2 linked regions of the Xenopus tropicalis genome follow. The protein of the gene in region 1 purifies or fractionates together with the protein of each later gene. This does not show direct contact. Links are inferred from orthologs where the notes say so. Each region holds a gene or a part of one and is shown in the gene's direction. Other genes may lie near its edges. The genes, in order: ahr and ctnnb1.

Evidence for each region.
Region 2: the proteins of ahr (region 1) and ctnnb1 purify together in Homo sapiens (affinity purification with western blotting; 4 studies listed by BioGRID and IntAct, with this or other methods). This does not show direct contact. The link is inferred for Xenopus tropicalis from reciprocal best matches to the Homo sapiens genes AHR and CTNNB1.

Annotation. Positions count from the first base shown.
Region 1 is NC_030682.2:37,604,962-37,609,232, forward strand, and holds the start of ahr (aryl hydrocarbon receptor), read left to right. Parts: upstream 1-1,324; 5' UTR 1,325-1,588; coding exon 1,589-1,644; intron 1,645-4,271. UniProt on the Homo sapiens protein: Ligand-activated transcription factor that enables cells to adapt to changing conditions by sensing compounds from the environment, diet, microbiome and cellular metabolism, and which plays important roles in development, immunity and cancer.
Region 2 is NC_030682.2:53,371,004-53,374,828, forward strand, and holds part of ctnnb1 (catenin beta-1), read left to right. Parts: intron 1-116; coding exon 117-318; intron 319-824; coding exon 825-969; intron 970-1,184; coding exon 1,185-1,288; intron 1,289-1,365; coding exon 1,366-1,704; intron 1,705-2,539; coding exon 2,540-2,698; intron 2,699-2,779; coding exon 2,780-2,899; intron 2,900-3,825. UniProt on the Homo sapiens protein: Key downstream component of the canonical Wnt signaling pathway.

The DNA of each region.
Region 1 (4,271 bases):
CTGTCCCCGATGCAATGCTGTAGTACATATATGCTGTCCCCGATGCAATGCTGTAGTACATATATGCTGTCCCCGATGCAATGCTGTAGTACACATATGCTGTCCCCGATGCAATGCTGTAGTACATATATGCTGTCCCCGATGCAATGCTATAGTACATATATGCTGTCCCCGATGCAATGCTGTAGTACATATATATACTGTCCCCGATGCAATGCTGTAGTACATATATATGCTGTCCCCGATGCAATGCTGTAGTACATATATACTGTCCCCGATGCAATGCTGTAGTACATATATACTGTCCCCGATGCAATGCTATAGTACATATATGCTGTCCCCGATGCAATGCTATAGTACATATATGCTGTCCCCGATGCAATGCTATAGTACATATATGCTGTCCCCGATGCAATGCTGTAGTACATATATATACTGTCCCCGATGCAATGCTGTAGTACATATATATGCTGTCCCCGATGCAATGCTGTAGTACATATATGCTGTCCCCGATGCAATGCTGTAGTACATATATATGCTGTCCCCGATGCAATGCTGTAGTACATATATACTGTCCCCGATGCAATGCTGTAGTACATATATACTGTCCCCGATGCAATGCTGTAGTACATATATGCTGTCCCCCCTTCCAGAGTGCGTTACATGCATTTTTCCTGACCCTATTTTGTATTCAATGCAGTATACTCTTGGGGAAATATACAGTATAATTTTTTTAATGCAAAGAATGGCATCAAATCTGGCGTTCAGACGGTGTAAAACAAAACACACCTTGATAATCTTGCCATTATTTTACACAGCTTTTAAGCTGTTTTTTGATACATTTCGTTGTACACAGCATAACAAACAGGCCCCTAACTGTTCAGCAGTAGAAGTGTTTGCATAAGGCAGTACAGCCAGGGCGCCACAGTTCCTCCAATGTATCCGGCACATAAAGCAGCACAATGCCCTCAGCTATGAACAGTTTAGGACTGTAATTTTTTTCACTCAGAAATGCAGACAGGCGGGACAAAACACTCGCACTCGATGTTACTATTCTCCGCGCCTTTCTTCCTGAAACACCTCTTCCGGCAAGAACGCATTTTTTTACAACAGCAATCCCCAGATTCACTATTTTATTTTTTTAAATACAATTTAATAATTTTTTAATTCTTTAAAATACTGACTTGCTGTACGTCTATTTTACTGAATTGTATCTAGCATACACTTTATCAAGAAAGTGACGGGCGCTGTTTAACGCCGTCCCACCTAATAGATCTGTCAATACGCGCACACTTAGGCGCGCTCCAGTTAACGCGCATGCGCATCCCTACGTGGGCGTGCCTCAGTCAAGCAACGTCAGGCCCTGCTCTGCGCATGCGTGTGCTTGCATACGCTTCAAGTGACTTGAGGAAAAGTAGAATTCACGGAAACTCCCGTTTTTGCCTTCTTACCGGAACTTTGTAACTATTTACGGATACGGTGCCGGGCAGGCACAAGGGGGGAGGGTGAAAGGGAGGAAAGCCATTAAATATTTAGAATTTGGAAGTTGGATTCCTTGGCGTGTCTCCGCGGCGTAGAAGTGGACGGGATGAACGCCAACATCATGTACGCCAGCAGGAAAAGAAGAAAACCCGTCCAGAAAACGTAAGAAAGCACCCAAGTGCTGGGCCGGGGCGGGAGGGCAAAAATTGCGTCCCATCTCTTGGGGTAACTAGAAATCGCAGCCTTAGAGCGACGGCACTGACAGTGTTGGCTCAACAACTGCGAGCAATAGGGCAGCAAGGGCATTTGTCCTGCAGAGGGGCATACAGACAAGTGGAAAGAACTTGTTAGATACGTTCTGTATGTGCATCAGGCATACCCAGCTGAGGTTGGCCGGGGGAAGGGGCCATAGATTCAACGGCAGATGACTTGTTTGCTGTGTTGTGTATGTGCATCGGCAGTGCCCAGCTTGTGCTGCCCTGCGGAGTGCCCATAGATTTCAGTCGAAAGAACTTGTTAGATACGTTCTGTATGTGCATCAGCAATTCCCAACTGATGTTGGCCTGGGGCAGGGGCCATAGATTCAAGGGCAGATGATTTTGAAGTAGTGTGTTCTGTATGTGATCAGCAATGCCCAGCTTGTGCTGCCCTGCGGAGTGGCCATAGAATTGAGTGGAAAGAATTTAGATACGTTGGTTAGATACGTTCTGTATATGCATCAGGAATGCCCAGCTGATGTTGGCCTGGGGAAGGGGCCATAGGTTCAAGTGCAAATGATTTGTTAGGAATGTTCTGTATGTGCATCAGGTAATGCCCAACAGTCTTCCAGTTGATGTTGCCCTGCAGAGAGGGATATAGGTACAGTTGTAAAGGACTTGTTAGATTCATTCTGCGTATACGTCAGGCATGCCATCTTACAGTCTTCCAGTTGATGTTGCCCTGCAGAGAGGGATATAAGCTATAATTGTAAAGGACTTGTTAGATTCATTCTGCGTATACGTCAGGCATGCCATCTTACAGTCTTCCAGTTGAGCTTGCTGTGGGGATGGGGGCATAAATATAAGTAGAAAGGCCTTTTGAGATACTTTCTGTATATGCTTCAAGCATGCCCAGCTTGCAGGTTTCCAGATGATGTAGTACTGTGCTTATTGTTTGTTTGGGGGTGGGGGTCCCTGTCTTTCTGCCTATTTGGAAGATGCGCCTTAGTGATTACTACCATTGTATTTATTAGGGAAAGTGTACTATATATATATATATATATATATATATATATATATATATATATATATATATATATATATATATATATATATAACTATGTAATGAGTGTGGGTTCATTTCTGTATGGTGATATTTAGAGCCTTTTCCCGTAAGTGGTGGACATACTGCTGTCCAGGTCATAAATATTTTTCATAGACTCTGGTAAAACAGTGATAATCATAAAAAAAATAAGGAACTCTTGGATAGCTGGTGCATGGTGCAACTATAAATAGCTTTGTAATACTTTTTTGTTTTAACAGTATAAATTTATTTAATTTATTGAATTAATGGTCACCATAATTTAAACTGTTCAAAACATTACAGATCAGTGCATCACAATATAAGATATAATGTAATGCTTGGTATATACACTGTCAATGTCTGTGCAAGGTATTTAATCCACAGACTGTTTTTTGGGGGGGATCATTTTGTCTACATAATAGGTTTATCCAATTCCCTATTGCACACTGGGTAAGACCATCTATGTCGGAAGACTGTATAAAGGGGGATTCTCAACATGTGACCCTAAAACTGCTTTTGAGCTACACTTGGGCAGCTGAAGGCATTTGGCGGGGGGGGGGGGGGGGGGCTGCTGTATTGGAAGGATGATTGTTGTACCTTCCTGATTTTAGGTGTCTATGTAGTAACTTTGGCCCCAGTTATAGCATTTGTTGAAGTATAGATCTCAGCAGTGTTTCTTCAGATGCTGTATGTTATGCATTTTTAAGTATTGGCGATTCAGATGGTCAAAAAAACTCAGCTGTTATGTAACCATTGCACAAAACAACTGGTCTGTTCTGAAAGAAATTAGTGCCTGGTTGGCCAAATATGCATTTTCCAAAATTGTTTAGCAAAGGACAATATTCAAATATTGATTGTTGCTAAACTTTGATAAAGTGTTTTGAGAGACCTTAAGCTGATTGGTGTAAAAAGGTATGCTTGAAAAAAGTAGCAATAGAATATTATTTCTGTACTTCTAAAAATGACACACAGTATCCCAGATGGGTTTAAAGGGTAAAGTGTCCCATTTCAATTATGACTCTAGTCAATAAATTGATTGTAATGATATATTTTTGATGTTTCTAATTTTATTTTTTTGTCTGAGGGATCAGTGGCAGCAATGATATGTTTGGGAATGTGTTCATATAAAAAGGGTTTGCCATCAAAATTAAATACTCCTTTGACACTTTTAAAATTGTTCAGAGCCCTACCATGGCTTTATTTATTTACCTTTTTTGTATATGTGTACTGGAATCATTAGCGTAATATGTACTATGTGTAACTGGATTGGCTAACTAGATTAATACTGAGCTTTACAAATCCTGTTGCCAGAGAGGGTCTTAAAATGATCCTCCTGGCTCCCTGCTTTGTGGCATGGGATGTACTCTGTGTGTTCTTGTAAGTTCTAGCTCTTGGAGACCCATCTTTTACTCCTTCAGTGATGTGACTGGGCCAAATCTAATAATAGTTCTGTTCACAGTGGACTAAAGTGCCTCCAAATGCATTTGCAAATAAATATTTTTTTTTTA
Region 2 (3,825 bases), about 16 Mb from region 1:
TGGTGTAACAGGACTTATAGAAAATATTTATGTTCTTTACTGCTAAAAATATAAATATTAAAGTAATGTCAGTATCACTTGTTTTTTTGGCATTCACTTATTTTCTCATTTTACAGCTCCCCAGTTGATTCTGTACTGTTCTATGCCATCACAACACTGCACAATCTTCTTCTTCACCAAGAAGGAGCAAAGATGGCTGTACGCCTAGCTGGTGGCTTGCAGAAAATGGTTGCCCTTCTCAATAAAACAAATGTCAAGTTTTTGGCAATCACAACAGACTGTCTTCAAATATTGGCCTATGGAAATCAAGAAAGCAAGGTTTGTAGAGTTTTTCATGGATTAAAACTGATCTACAGATATTGAAGTTAATCTCTAGTGCTATACACAACTGACTTTGAGATTTGGTAGTATGTATTTAGCCAATTTAGGACTAAGCGTAGACCAAATCTGTGACACTTCCTTGGTAAAAGAAGCAGTGTATGTTTCCACCAGCAATTAATTTTGCCAGTGGGAAGGCATTGGGGAAGATTTGTCACCATTGTGCCTTACCCCAATGTAAAAGATAATGCTTTGAAACATTGTAAACAAGACACTTGTGGAAATCTGCCAAAATACAGCAAAATATAATATATCAATGTGTCATGGCAAGGTTTGCTCTCAGTGTCAACAGTGTAGAAATAAGACTAGCCAGTTTTAAATGCCTTCAGTTTTAAAAATGCACTGTATTTTGCCCTCCAGTCACTTTAGTGCATGAAGGAAAATTTTGTATAAATGCTTGTTATGCAGCTTGTATATGAACTTCATAGGATATTTTGTGCTTTTAGTTGATTATTCTTGCAAGTGGTGGACCGCAAGCTTTGGTAAACATAATGAGGACTTACAGTTACGAGAAACTTCTGTGGACCACAAGTCGGGTGCTTAAAGTGTTATCTGTGTGCTCTAGCAACAAGCCTGCTATAGTTGAAGCTGGTAAGCTTACCTTTCACTGTTATTCAAACCATCTGAATTGCATCCTTTAATCTATGCCATGCTGTTGGCAAAATCAAGGGTGGAAACTTAGAAAAATTAAGTCTACAACTCACGAGCTTCCATCAGTGCAGACTTAACAATCTGCAGCCCTGTATAGTTTCAGAAAAACTTTGTACTGATTGAGCTTAATTGACTGTCTTCTGTTTGCCATCTAGGTGGAATGCAAGCTTTAGGACTCCATCTTACAGACTCAAGCCAACGTCTTGTTCAAAATTGTCTTTGGACTCTAAGAAACCTTTCAGATGCCGCAACTAAACAGGTTATTAATGTTTTTCTTTAGGCCACTAGTGTTTAACTGTTTAGTGTGACTTTACTAAATATCTGTATTGATTTTAGGAGGGAATGGAAGGTCTTCTTGGAACCCTGGTTCAGCTTCTTGGATCAGATGACATTAATGTAGTAACTTGTGCAGCTGGTATACTGTCCAACCTTACATGCAACAACTACAAAAACAAAATGATGGTTTGTCAAGTTGGAGGCATTGAAGCCCTTGTTCGCACAGTTCTACGTGCTGGGGATAGAGAAGACATCACTGAACCTGCAATTTGTGCACTTCGTCACCTTACCAGTAGGCATCAGGAAGCAGAGATGGCTCAAAATGCAGTACGTCTTCATTATGGGCTTCCAGTGGTGGTGAAGCTCTTGCACCCTCCTTCACACTGGCCTTTGATAAAGGTAAGTAGGTTATACATAGGGTGCCCTATGGCTCACTCCAGAGTTCAGTCTGGTTTTTATTAATGGTCTGACGGGGAAAATTAAACTTCAGCTCATGATCAATACTTCAACCTCAGATTCTTGTATTACATAAACTAGACCAGTGATGCTCATGGTCTTTATCAAAGTCATTCTTAGCCTACAGTAAGTTTTGCTGCTTATGCTGCCTTCATAAACACATAACTGGTAATTTGTAATCATGGCAATTGTTTTGGCAAGAACTGACATCTGACCACACTGATTCTCTTAGGCTTTGGGTAATGGATTTGTAATTTAAATTTAAAAACTGACCACGTACGGTTACCAAATCGAATGAAAATTTGAAACTCGAGTTGCAGTATTGTGAATCTAGATCACTGAGCTTAGTCTTTAACCTCTTGTTGGCATCCTGTATAGAATGTGTAAGGCTGTATCAAAGTCTCCTAAATTACTACAAAATAACATGGTGGTAAAGTGTTAAACGGCTATTTGTTAACATCTCATATAGGCTTTGGTATAACCATTACAGTGACCAAAAAAAGGCTAGTGGTTGAAAACAAGTAAAATGTTTCAGTGACTTGGTCCCTAGAAAGTTTTTTTTATTTATTTTTTTTTTTTTTCCCCCTCATGCCTTCTTTTGACAAAATAGTACATCAGAAATTAGTTTGTCTGAAAACTAAAAATGTCTAGTAGCTGAACTACCCCACAAAGCTAAACTGTCAGCAAGGATTCCCATGCCAAGTATATAACAGTGATTTATAACTCGTGTTTACACTGTACCTCAGTCTTATTTCATTTTTTTTTTAAATTTTTTTAGGCTACAGTTGGCCTGATCCGCAACCTTGCTCTTTGTCCAGCCAATCATGCCCCACTGCGCGAGCAGGGTGCTATTCCTCGACTTGTGCAATTGCTTGTTCGTGCACACCAGGACACACAGAGGCGCACTTCAATGGGTGGAACACAACAGCAATTTGTGGTATGTAATTCTTTCAAGCTTGCCTATACTTAGATACATGTGTGCTTAAGGTTGCCTACAAGTTCTGATTTCCACTTTCAGGAGGGTGTCCGTATGGAAGAGATAGTTGAAGGCTGCACAGGTGCCCTTCACATTTTGGCTCGTGATGTCCACAACCGAATTGTAATCAGAGGTCTTAACACCATTCCATTATTTGTGCAGGTAAGACTTTAGTTCAGGGCAGTTTTAATGGAATGAAAAGGGAGAATTTAGCAGGATCTTTAAAGGATAGACTGGGAAATTAGTCAATTGGCATTTCTCGGTTTATGGAAGTTGGTCTCTTCACTTTTAAACTATCCATAAAACTAATCGGTGCCCCTTGGGAGTTTGAATGTGTTGGTTTGATAAAACAATAAGGTTTGTCTCGCACACACTAAAAATTCAAGAGTATGCAGTCTGAAGTATATGGTCCCCTGATCTTGCTGTTGTGTAAAAGGGACTCTAGCCACTTTTCAACATGAGTTTTATTAACAGAGCTTTTGCTGAACAAATTTTTCTTTAATATTTAACTGGTAAAATGGGCAAAATTTGCTCAGTATGGTTCTTAGATTACCAAAACAGATAATCCACTCAATTCTATTGGACACTTATCTGCTCAGGGAATCTACCTTGCAATGGTGCACTGCATTGCTCATGATTAAATCAAGAGGAGACAGGTTTTCAGCCAAGCCCTATTTCTTGAACTTGTGGATTTCTGTCCTTTTAAAAATTGTCTAAAAGAGGACATGCTTGGCTTATTAAACAGTAACACTGCTAGAATATTTTGCAGTATATTTAAACTAAACGCACTACTGGCTTGGCTAGCCCAAAATGTTACAAATTTAAATGGAAACCATGATTGTTTCTTTGCTTACAGGTACCAGTTCCTGACTTAGGTTAAACTAAATCTTCCCCAATCTATGGAGGAGCTCATGTCAGGGGCAGTATCTCCCAAGCGAGCGGATCTTCTCCCGATATCCCCACCTACAGGCGGGCGATATTGGGTGATTTCAGGCTAATTCCGACCGAATTAGAACTGCAGTATATAGTCTGTTCAGGGGCCATATGAACGAGCTGATGTCGCCAATCTGACTAAATTTGTTAACCTG